3 linked regions of the Sus scrofa genome follow. The protein of the gene in region 1 interacts with the protein of each later gene in a pairwise test. Links are inferred from orthologs where the notes say so. Each region holds a gene or a part of one and is shown on either strand. Other genes may lie near its edges.

Region 1 (2,859 bases):
GGGGCCTGCCTGCGGGGGAGGAGGCTGGGGGCTCCGGGGACACTGCGGAGGAAGGAAACAGGTGTCCAGGGAGGGCTGGCGGGGGGTCCACGGGGTGGAGGTGTGGCCCCCGACTCGCACCATCATCTCAGCTCCCCACCCTGCTGAGCGCCTGCTCTGGGCGAGGACCTGCTGGCCCGCAGCCCACAGCCCTGCCCCCCGACGGGGCCGGGCCCTGCGCAGCCTGGGGACAGACCCTCACCTGATCCCGGAGCCCGAGATGTCAAACTCAATCAGGCGGACATCCTGAAAGTGTGAGGGGCCGGTGACCCTCTGGTTGGTGACCATGGGTGCCAGGAAGGGCTGCAGCTCTGAAGGCGGTCCCTGAGGGTCTGTCCCGGCCACGCTCAGCTCCTCCGAGCACTTCCTGGGGGCCTCCTGAAGGAGCTGCAGGGTGAACCTGGAGGGCCAGCTACAAGGGGGCGGACACCTGTCAGTCCCCCGCTGGCCTGAAGCGCCGCCCCTGGGAGCCTCGTGCCAGGCCAGGTCTGGGGCGCCCCACACTTACGGGACTGCGGGCGCGGTCACACCAAGGTCGAGGGGCACAGCATGCGGCCCCAGTACCTTCTCCCACAGGTCGCGTAGCCAGGGGTCGATGGTGGCATCAGGCCTGCAGGGAGCACAGGTGCATGCGGGTCTGGGGCCCTGCTCGTGGCTGGGCCCCGCGGGAGGGCGCCCCCTCCCACACTCACCCCAGCTCGTGCTGGTCATCGCCCAGACACACGGGCAGGAGGGCGCTGCCCCCCAGCTGCAGCAGCCGGCGGTGCAGCTTCTTGGCCACAAAGTTAAACCTGTGGAGAGACGAGGCTGGCACGGGCCCCGCGCTGGAGGCGGAAGGGACAGCCCAGCTGCTCTTCCTGGGGTCCTTGGCTGTCACTGCGGCTCCCTGAATGACAGGACCTCCCAGGACACTGTCCACAGAGACCCTTCACCCCTCCTGCGGCGACAGATGTCTGCCTCACGCACAGAACAGAACCGCAAGCCCCGTGGACGGGTCGTGGATGCGTGGCCGCCCTCCTGTCCCGTCCGCCTGGACGAGTGCGGGCCCCGCCCTTAGCCCCTGAGCTGACAGTCGGGGTTTTAACGCTTCAGGAACTCAGGCTGTTTGCCCTTGAACGCAGAGCCCGTGGCCCTCCCCTGTTCTCTGCTTAGGACACAGCGTGTCCTGAAAACAGGGAGAAGCAAAAAGCAGAGACGGGAGGCCCCACGGCTGTGCCTGGAGAGGCGGCGGCCTCAGGGTGGCCCTGGGGCTGCTGTCTCCCATGCTAGCCACCTATTCGCTTCTTGCTGTTCTCTGCACTCTGCCTAAGCCCGAACATCTCAAAGAGCCTGTTTCTAAAAGCGGGCAAGGGCAGGGTGGGCCTTGGTCGCCCTAAGTCCCATGTCGACAGAGGACACTGGCTCAGGCCCAGGAAGTCTGGCTCGAGACAGCACCCCTGCCCTGCAAGAGGCCCAAGCCAGCCCCAGCCCTTGCCGCCGGCCTGCCCTTGGAGCCCCAGGCCTCTGGCTGCGGGGGAGGAGCCCACCAGGGAGGGTCTCTGGGCATGGCCAGGGTCAGGTCCCAAAGGGGGAGCCTGGGGGCTGGTCACGTGCCCCAGGATAGCCCCTGGCGGCCAGAAGCCCCCTGCCCTCACTTACTTGGCGTAAGAGGAATCCCCAAGGCCCAGGACGGCAAAGTCCATCTGACAGAGGGAGGTCGACGGCAGGTTTCTTCGGAATATGAACTTCCAGAAGCCCTACAGCCAGGAAATACCAGGCTCGGGCCGGCTCTGGGCCACCAGGGCCCGCGGGTGGGGTGGGGGTCCCAGGGGCCTGCTCTCCTGCTCCTCGACAGCTTTGTTATTAAGATAAGACCATTTTAAAATCTTTTTTTTTTTTTTTCTGGTCTTTTGTCTTTTTAGGGCCGCACTCCGGGCATATGGAGGTTCCCAGGCCAGGGGTCAAATCGGAGCTGCAGCTGCGAGCCTACACCACAGGCACAGCAACACCGGATCCAAGCCGCATCTGTGACTTACACCACAGCTCATGGCAACACTGGATCCTTAACCTACTGAGCAAGGCCAGGGATCGAACCTGCAACCTCATGGATACTAGTCAGGTTTGCTAACCGCTGAGCTATGATGGGAACTCCAAGACAAGACCCTTTTAAATAAATCCTATCACACAGGTAAGAGGCTTGGGAAAAAAGAGAAAACGGTAAAGGAGAGACCTGCCGAGAGCTACCACCATGGAGCTGGGCTCTGGGCGAGGGGCTTCGAGTGGGGGCTCTCAGGGGAGGCTGCAGAGCCCCGCTGGGCACAGGCAGGCAGGGGCCTCCCCAGAGGGGGCTGCGCAGCTCCGCCTCGGCCCTGAGCCCTCAGCCACAGGCTTGGGCCTGAGCGGCCACAGAACAGGTTCTGGGCTGACACGTCAAGGCCCCTCTCGGGCCCCAGTTCCCCCAGCTCCGTGGCCTCTGCTCTCCTTTGCAACTCCTCTCCTGGGCTGCTCGGGCACTCCCCTCCCTCAGGGCTTCAGCCTGTCCATAGGCCAGCAGGGGTCCCACGGCTGTCACCCTCTCCCAGGCGCCTTACACCCACACCTCCAAGGGGCCGGCCCGAGTCCCTCCCTCCCTGACCATAGCGTCCCCCTTGGGGTGGCCCCTCCGGAGCACGTCCTGCTCCATGTCCTGCCCAGGCCTCCCTGTGGGCCCAGAGGCACTGGCATCTTCAGCCCCTGATGACCTGAGCCTGACTCCCCCACCGTGTGTGCGGTCCAGCCTCGCCTCACCGTCTGCCTTCCGCCAGCAGGGTCCTGGCCTTGTCAGGGCACAGGTCTGCCCAT
Region 2 (3,500 bases), on another chromosome or scaffold:
AGCTGTAGGTAAGGAAATCTTCACTTGAAAGACTGGAGTTTAACAGTGTTGAATCTTTAGGTATGTTTACGGTATCTCTCAGAGCAGGAAGTATCATTTGGAGATCATATTCCTATACTAAGCCTTATCCTTAGGCATAAATTATTGTGAGACTCTGATCCAACACATCTGAAGAAACTGTGTTCTTTGACCCATTAAGTAGTAAGGTGGAAGGGAACTGTCCTTTTGAAAATGGCTGGGTCCTTCATCAGGTGACTGGTTAAGCTGTGGTATATCCACACCATGGAAAACTCTGCAGCAGTGAAAAAGGAACAGACTGTTGCCATGTGCAACAACTTGGGTGAATCTCAAGGGAATCATGCTGAGTGCAAGAAATCCAATCTCAAAAGCTTATATGCTGTATGATTCCATTCAGGTCACGTTCTTGAAATGACAGAGAAGAACAGGTTGGCTGTCGTCTGGGGCTAAGAATAGGAGGGAGGGGGTACATGAGGCTCTAAAGGGGTAGTATGAGGGCTCCTTGTAGTGATGAACATTGTACACATGCACAGAAGTATATACAAAGCTGGTGAAAGCTGGATAAGCTCTGTGGACTCTCAGTGGCAATTTCTTGGTCTTTATATTGTGTGATAGTTGTGTAAGATGTTATTGTGGGGAGACAAGGTGAAGGGTCCTCGGAACCTCCCTGAACTTTTTTTTTAACTAACTTCTTGTGCATCTATAGTTATTTCAAACTAAAAAGTTAAAAAATGGTGACTGGGGAGTTCCCGTCGTGGCTAACAAACCTGACTAGTATCCGTGAGGATGAGGGTTCAATCCCTGGCTTTGCTCGGTTGGTTAAGGATCCGGCATTGCTGTGAGCTGTAGGTGGCAGGCATGGCTCGGATCCTGCATGGCTGTGGCTTGTGGCGTAGGCTGGCAGCCGTAGCTCTGATTTGACCCCTAGCCTGGGAACCTCCATGTGCCGCAGGAGCGGCCCAAGAAATGGCAAAAAAGACAAAAAAAAAAAAAAAAAAAAATGGTGACTAGAAGTCTGAGAGAGATGAGGTAAATATTGATTCACATGAAACTGAAGATAGGAGTCCAAGAAATAAAAACCTCTTTTGTTCCGGGGTGAAGCTGTCAGTCATTCAGTTCTAGAGTTTTAGCATTTTTAACTAGACTTCCCATCAACCTGTGATGACTTATTTTATCCAATAATGTAAGTGAAAGTATTCTGAAATGTATAAAGGTGTTTAGGTTGAAATCTAGACTTGTGATGTGTGGAGCAGATACTGCCTTCCTTGCTGAGATGTCAGCCGAGGGTGGTGAACACAGTGTCTATCAGAGGTATACAGAGCATGCTCGCGTACCTTACAGCTTCTAGCCTCCTGCTCAGTCACTATCCACCAGCCCCTGGAAGGTTAGGTATTTCCGAGAAGCAGAGAGTGATAAGAAACAATAATAATGGAATTACTGTCTATAACACTGAAGAGCATGGGTGAGAGCACTTTGCACAACCAAAAGGATTTGTCCAATTCAAATATTATCACTAAAATAGGGAGTTCCTGTTGTGGCTCAGTGGTTAACGTATCCAACTAGGAACCAGGAGATTGCAGGTTCAATCCCTGGCCTTGCTCAGTGGGTTAAGGATCCGGTGTTGCCATGAGCTGTGATGTAGGTTGCAGACGTGGCTTGGATCCCGCGTTGCTGTGGCTCTGGCATAGGCCGGCGGCTACAGCTCCGATTAGACCCCTAGCCTGGGAACCTCCATATGTCACAGGAGCTGCCCTAGAAAAGGCAAAAAGACCAAAAAAAAAAAAAAAATCACTAAAATATATGTACATTGAACAAAGCAGGTTAGTATTGTATTGCCTGCTAACCCAGATAGGATAGAGCCTTTATTATTTTTCCTGCTTTGACCTATAAAGCTACTAATTGGGGTTTTCCTCTTGGCAGTTAACAACAGCAAAGTGAAGACAGCGTCTAAGCTGTGTTCAGCCCTGACTCTTTCTGGTCTTGTGGAAGTAAAAGAGGTATGTTTGTAGATGACCTGATTTGCTAGGAATTTAAGTCCTGGGTAACTAAACCCAGCATCTCTTTGTCAGATGATAGAGAATCAGGGAGAAATAACAGCCCTGAAGGTGAGGTGATTAGTGTTGCTTAGACTAAGAAATAGGTTGAGCAATGCTTCGCATGTGAGATACAGGATGCCTCAAAGGACAAAACCGCTGGAAATAAACTCCTTTGAAGAGACGCAGCTTGGGCCCTGGGCCCTGCGGCATATTCTGATCTCAGTCGTGACCACTGATGCAGGCAGAAAGCGATACAGCTCTTAATACACAGATCTTAGGCCCAAGTGAAAGGCAGTCACCTGTATTTTCCTTAGCTTTTTGGTGGGAGGCCGGAATAGATTGGAGGGGGAATCCAGTTCTGACAGTTCATTAGAAATAGCAACACTAAATAGAGGTCTTGAAGGTTCTGCATTGTTCTCCCACGTTGAAATTTTCTTGTGTGAGAGGTAAGGGTTGTACCATGATAGCTGTTACACCACTGATCTGTACGTGCCCTAGAGCCTCAGTTTCTGTATGTTTTCCCTTTCTTATTTTTAAGTTAAAAGGTCCTCTGCTTTTTATTCTAAAATCTGAACTGTTCCTAAAAATTCAATAAAGACTGAAGAATCTAAAGTGACATCCCAGGCCTTGCTTACACTTTGCTCCCCAGAAGAAGCCACCAATACATTTTTTTAGTGTGGCTGTTCAGACTGCTTTTAACGTATTTACAAGTGTGTGGTGTGTGTGTGTGTGTGTGTGTATGCATATCCCCTTTTAATGTAAATAAGGTTGTATGTACACGTGTTCAGTCCCTAGCTCTTTTCCCTGCTTCAGGCTGTCCTTGCCATTTAGCCACCTCTATGTATTGCCCCACTTTCCTATCAATGATGGACCACTATTCGGTGCTATAGGTGGACTATGATTTATTTATTCCATGATTGTTGGACATAGAGGTGGCACCCCCACCTTTTTTCCTACCTTTACCATTTGCTGCTTCTTCCCAAGGAACATAGAAAGCATTTCCCGCTCCTGTGGTCCCTTTCCTGTGCTTGGTATTTCATCTCTAGCATCTTCACTGTGGGCAGGCTTCCCATTCGACAGCCTGTTCAGCATGTTTGACTCGTTTGATAGTCATAATTACAACCCCCACAATGACGAGCACAGGGCCTTGTACCTCACAGACAGATATTCGATAAATTCTTTAACTTTCCAAGGGGGAGGCTCAACGGAAACATGTAGAGAAAAGTTACACTCTCGGGTCCTGATTGGTAGGAACTTGGATGTGAGGCACCAGGTGAAGTGCGGGCTCTCCCGCTGTCTTACTCCATGGACGTGGGGCAGCATCACATCGTGGGTGGGGCTTGGCTCATCCTCTGCCGTCTTCAATTCCAGCTGCAGCGCGAGTCCTTGAGCCCCGAGGAGACTGGATCTGTCCAGGAACATCTGGGTTACCGCAGCGACAGCCTC
Region 3 (4,501 bases), on another chromosome or scaffold:
ATGGAAGATTGGCCAAAAGCTTGGTCAAAGAGGGCGAAACCAATCAGAGGCTAACCCTGGGGCAGGGCAGATGTTGAACAAACACATGTCAAGTAAAGTGAGATGTGAGAGAGTGTGGGCCCCTGTGGGACAGCAGGTGCTCTGCACCTAGGTGTGCTCCATTTAAACCTTCATTGCATCTCACAAGGGTAACCCTAGAAGGCAGCCCTGTTGGTATTCTTGTTAAAAGATAAACTGAGGCACAGTAAAAATGTCAAGACTTATTGATTTGAATCAGGTAGCACTGAACCGAATGTGTACGGGCAGAACCTAGGAGAGAGGTTTTTGCAGAGAAGATGTGGAAACGAGGAAATCATTTGATTGCCTGCCGCTTAAGTAACTGCCTTGTTTGGGAAAGTCTCATTGGCTATTTGGTTTTTTACTTTTCTTTTCTTTTTTTTTTTTTGCTTTTTAGGGCTGCACTTGCGGCATATGGAAGTTCTCAGGCTAGGGGTCAAATCTGAGCTACTGCTGCCAGCCAGACTATGCCACAGCCACAACAACGCAGGATCCGAGCCAAGTCTGCGACCTACACCACAGCTCACTGCAATGCCGGATCCTTGACCCGCCAAGCGAGGCCAGGGATCAAACCTGCGTCCTCTGGTTCCTAGTCAGATTTGTTCCACTGCACCATGACGGGGAACTCCCTCATTGGCTCTTTGGGATTGGTAAATTTCACTAGCTCAGATGAATCTGACCTAGGTTTAGGTTTGCTTGCATAGGCTACCAAAGGGTCAGAGCCTCCCCAGTCAAATGGCCGCCTTTCTCAATTACTTTAACATTCTCATTTTACAGATGAGGATGCTGAGGCATGGAGTGATGAAGTGACCTGTCCAAGACCACACATCTAGCATGGTCAAGGCTGCAACAGAGGCCACTACATTCAAAGGACATTACTCTGCATCCAGGAAAAAGAGAGAAGCGGACAAGGGATGAAGGAATGAAGGGAAAAAGAAATTAAGGCAAGAATGAGAAAATGAAAAGAACATGAATGAAAGAGTGAATATTTTATTATTTATTTTAATGGAATGATTGATACTTAATACATGTAACACATGCGAGCTATAAAACACACTAAGAGAATGAACACCCTTGAACCCACCACCATCCTAAGACAATAGAAAGTTACTAATAACTCATACCTATTTACATCGGCAGTTCTTTGAGCTGGCTGCACGTTGGATGCACCTGGGGAGCTTACACAACCACTGATACCCTCAGGGAGCTTGATGGGATTTCTCTGGAGTTTGGCTTGGACATCTGGATTGTTAAGAGCTCCCAGATGATTCTCATGTGGCTTATATATCCCCTTCTATATTCTTCTGATTTCCCCCAACCCTCATCCTTGTCTCCCCTATGTAGCCACCATTCTGAATTTGGTGTAGTGAACGGATTCTTTTCTTCTTTCCTTCCCAGTTTACAGGACCAGTGATGTTTGCGATTGAGCTCCCGCCCACCACGCGGGGGCGCCAGAGAGAAACACAACCTCTTTTTCTTTCCTTCAGAGCGGCCAGCAATCGCGCGGGAGGAAGTTTGGCCCTCGCCGCGCCCCGTCACTGGCCCGTTGCCCCGACAACGATAGGGGGAAAAGGCTGGTGGGTGCATCGCTTCCCCGGAGCGTCTTGCCGGCTGGGCTCGGCTTAGTTGGGGCGTACGGGAGCTCGGGCTGGGGCACTCTTCCGAATCTCCGGGGTGCAGAGAAACGTGAGTCTGGGGTTTGGGCTTGGCCGGGGTCCGGCGTTGGGGACGGGACCCGCAGAGCTCCGCTACAGTCAGGCCCGCGCTGGCGGGAAGCTCGCCCGCCTACCCGAGACGGCGATCGCTGGGCTTGCGGGGGTTCGACTTCCGGTCCTCACTTTGCTCCCTGCGCGCGATCTGGGTCCTACACTTGCCTGTGTAACCGCTTTTGTCATTCGTGGCCGTTGAGGCTGAGAGAGGGATTCGACTAGTTCAGGGAGCAGCCCATTTTGTTGGTGGCCGATCCAGGACTGGAATCCTACATTTCTTGATTCCTGGTGCAAAGTTTATCTGCAGGCGGATCACAGGACTAGGAAGAAAGTTTGTCAAGCCTGGCACAGTCTTAAGACAGATCATAAACTGGCAGCCTCAGGCTAAACTTGGCTCATAGAAGCAGATTATTTCCCTCCAGGTTTGGAGGGCTCTGAGTTTGCTTATTCAATAGACGCTCCTTAAGCACGAGCATAGCCAGACACTGTGTAGACCCTGGACATGGGGCAGCTTTTGGACCAGAGGAAGAGGTGTCCGGAGTCAGACTGGTTCTGCTGTCGGGTCTCCAGAGTGCTCCTTGATCTGCAAGTCGATTCCTCTCTGAGTTGTAGTTTCTCCATCTGTAAAATGAGGGGTCTCCCTTCTTGCTAATCCAGAGCACTTCCAGGTGTGACACCTGGATTGGGCTCCTCTTTGGGAGTTGCCAAAGGGATCCCAACAGGCAGCCTCTCGCTGTCTGCAAAGCCAGGGCCCTCCTCTCAGACTGACAGGAAATGGGATCCCCTAGCTTTTATAAAGTTTCTCTACTTCCTGGCCTTGTGATCTTGAGCAAGTTGTTTTACCTTTTTGAACTTAAGTTTTCTCACCTATCCAAATAATGGGGTGAGAGTAACATCAAAAAAGGCCATACATGTCATGAGCTTGGCACACAAACACATCTCTTAAGTTATCGTCTCTGTTACTTTAGGCAGTGCATAGAAGTCACCAGTGTGCTTGTCTAGCATTGCCAGGACTGGTCCTCTATGTCTGTGGTTCCCTTGATGACATCTAGCTCACAGCTGGGTGCAGTCCAGGCTTATTTAAATAGATGATTTGCAGCCCCAGTGGCAAGTCTTTATTTTTTTTAAATTGATATATAGTTGATTTACAATATTGTATTAGTTTTAGGTATACCGCACAATGATTCAGTTATATATTCTTTTTCAGATTCTTTTCTGTTATAGGTCATTATAAAACACTGAGTATAGCTTCCTGCACTATATACTAGGGCCTTGTTGTTTATCTCTTTTATACATAGTAGTATATATGCTAATCCTGAACTCCTAATTTATCCCCCCACCAAGTCATTTTTAAAGTGCTAATGACTGGGGGCCTACACAGGACTTTCAATTGGTCTGGATTAGGACCCAGCCTCTACCAGACCATCCCAATGTGCAGCCCAGGGGTGAGGCCCACTCATTAAAGGGGCAAGGGGTTGGCACAGGCTCATTTTCTTACCAATGCTGTTCTTCTCAGATGGCACTCCCCACACTGCCTTCCTCCTGGTGCAGCCGAAGGCTCCTGGATCAGCAGGCCGCACGACAGCGACACCGGGAGCAGGAGGCCCAGCTTCGGCAGCAGTGGGATGAGAACAGCCGCTACTTCAAGATGTCTGACATCTGCAGCTCCAAACAGGCAGAATGGAGCTCCAGGTCCTCCTACCAGCGGAGGTAACAGTGTGGTGACCACCACCATCTGTGGTTGGTGGGCCACTTTCTGGTCAGATGTGACCTGAGGATCTGGGGGAGTGTGGCTGGCCAGCATGTGTTCTTAAGGAATTTACTGGATTGCATGGATCACCTGCACGGTGATGTCTTTCCACTGGAAATTGAAAAAAAAAAGAAAAAGATCGTCAGTGAAGCAACACATTTGTACTGAAAAAGATAAAATGATGAGAAATGTATGTAGAATCTGCAAGTCTCCTTGAAACCCCCTATCCCCAGGAAGGAACCACAGTTAACTGGTGCACATCCCCACATACTTTTCTCCATTTGTGGTTGTGTGTAAATATATGTACATACTGATACCCATTTTTATAGAAATACATATAAAAACATGGAAGTTAAAAGCATAGGCTTTGGGAGTTCCCGTCATGGCACAGCAGAAACAAATCCAACTAGGAACCATGAGGTTGTGGGTCTGATCCCTGGCCTCAGTCAGTGGGTTAAGAATCTGGTGTTGCCGTGAGCTGTGGTGTAGGCCACAGATGTGGCTCGGATCCCGCATTGCTGTGGCTGTGGCATAGGCCGGCAGCAACAGCTCCGATTCAACCCTTAGCCTGGGAACCTCCATATGCTGTGGGTACAACCTTGAAAAGACAAAAGACAAAAAAACAAAACAAAACAACAACATAGGCTTTGGAGTCAGACAGACCTAGATAGAAATCCTGACTGTCACTTGCTATATGAATGAACCTCAGTTTCCTCATCAGTGAAGTGGGACTAAAACAGAACCTACTTTACAGGATTTGTGTGATGATTCGTATAAAATTGTCTGGGTTAATATAAAACCTGGTACATGGTATTGCTCAAATATTAGCTAGTCCCTTTAGCACATGCATATGTAAGCTCACTATACATTTTCTTCTTGCAAAAATAAGATTCTATAATGTCTAGTGTTCTGTCACCTGCTCTCTTTCCTTTGGCCAGAGGGCACCTTCCTGGGTCACCCCATTCTGTTGGCTTTAGCCTCTTTC

What was found.
Region 2: the proteins of NDOR1 (region 1) and CIAPIN1 interact in binary tests that used the Homo sapiens proteins (3 or more experiments, as listed by UniProt). The two-hybrid records come from large-scale screens. The link is inferred for Sus scrofa from reciprocal best matches to the Homo sapiens genes NDOR1 and CIAPIN1.
Region 3: the proteins of NDOR1 (region 1) and TCHP interact in binary tests that used the Homo sapiens proteins (3 or more experiments, as listed by UniProt). The two-hybrid records come from large-scale screens. The link is inferred for Sus scrofa from reciprocal best matches to the Homo sapiens genes NDOR1 and TCHP.

The regions. Positions count from the first base shown.
Region 1 is NW_018084833.1:692,284-695,142, forward strand, and holds part of NDOR1 (NADPH-dependent diflavin oxidoreductase 1), read right to left. Parts: intron 1,776-2,859; coding exon 1,678-1,775; intron 831-1,677; coding exon 732-830; intron 650-731; coding exon 548-649; intron 452-547; coding exon 242-451; intron 1-241. UniProt on the Homo sapiens protein: NADPH-dependent reductase which is a central component of the cytosolic iron-sulfur (Fe-S) protein assembly (CIA) machinery.
Region 2 is NC_010448.4:19,363,086-19,366,585, reverse strand, and holds part of CIAPIN1 (anamorsin), read left to right. Parts: coding exon 1-8; intron 9-1,938; coding exon 1,939-2,015; intron 2,016-3,425; coding exon 3,426-3,500. UniProt on the Homo sapiens protein: Component of the cytosolic iron-sulfur (Fe-S) protein assembly (CIA) machinery required for the maturation of extramitochondrial Fe-S proteins.
Region 3 is NC_010456.5:41,074,733-41,079,233, reverse strand, and holds the start of TCHP (trichoplein keratin filament-binding protein), read left to right. Parts: upstream 1-1,589; 5' UTR 1,590-1,743; intron 1,744-3,282; coding exon 3,283-3,476; intron 3,477-4,501. UniProt on the Homo sapiens protein: Tumor suppressor which has the ability to inhibit cell growth and be pro-apoptotic during cell stress. Inhibits cell growth in bladder and prostate cancer cells by a down-regulation of HSPB1 by inhibiting its phosphorylation.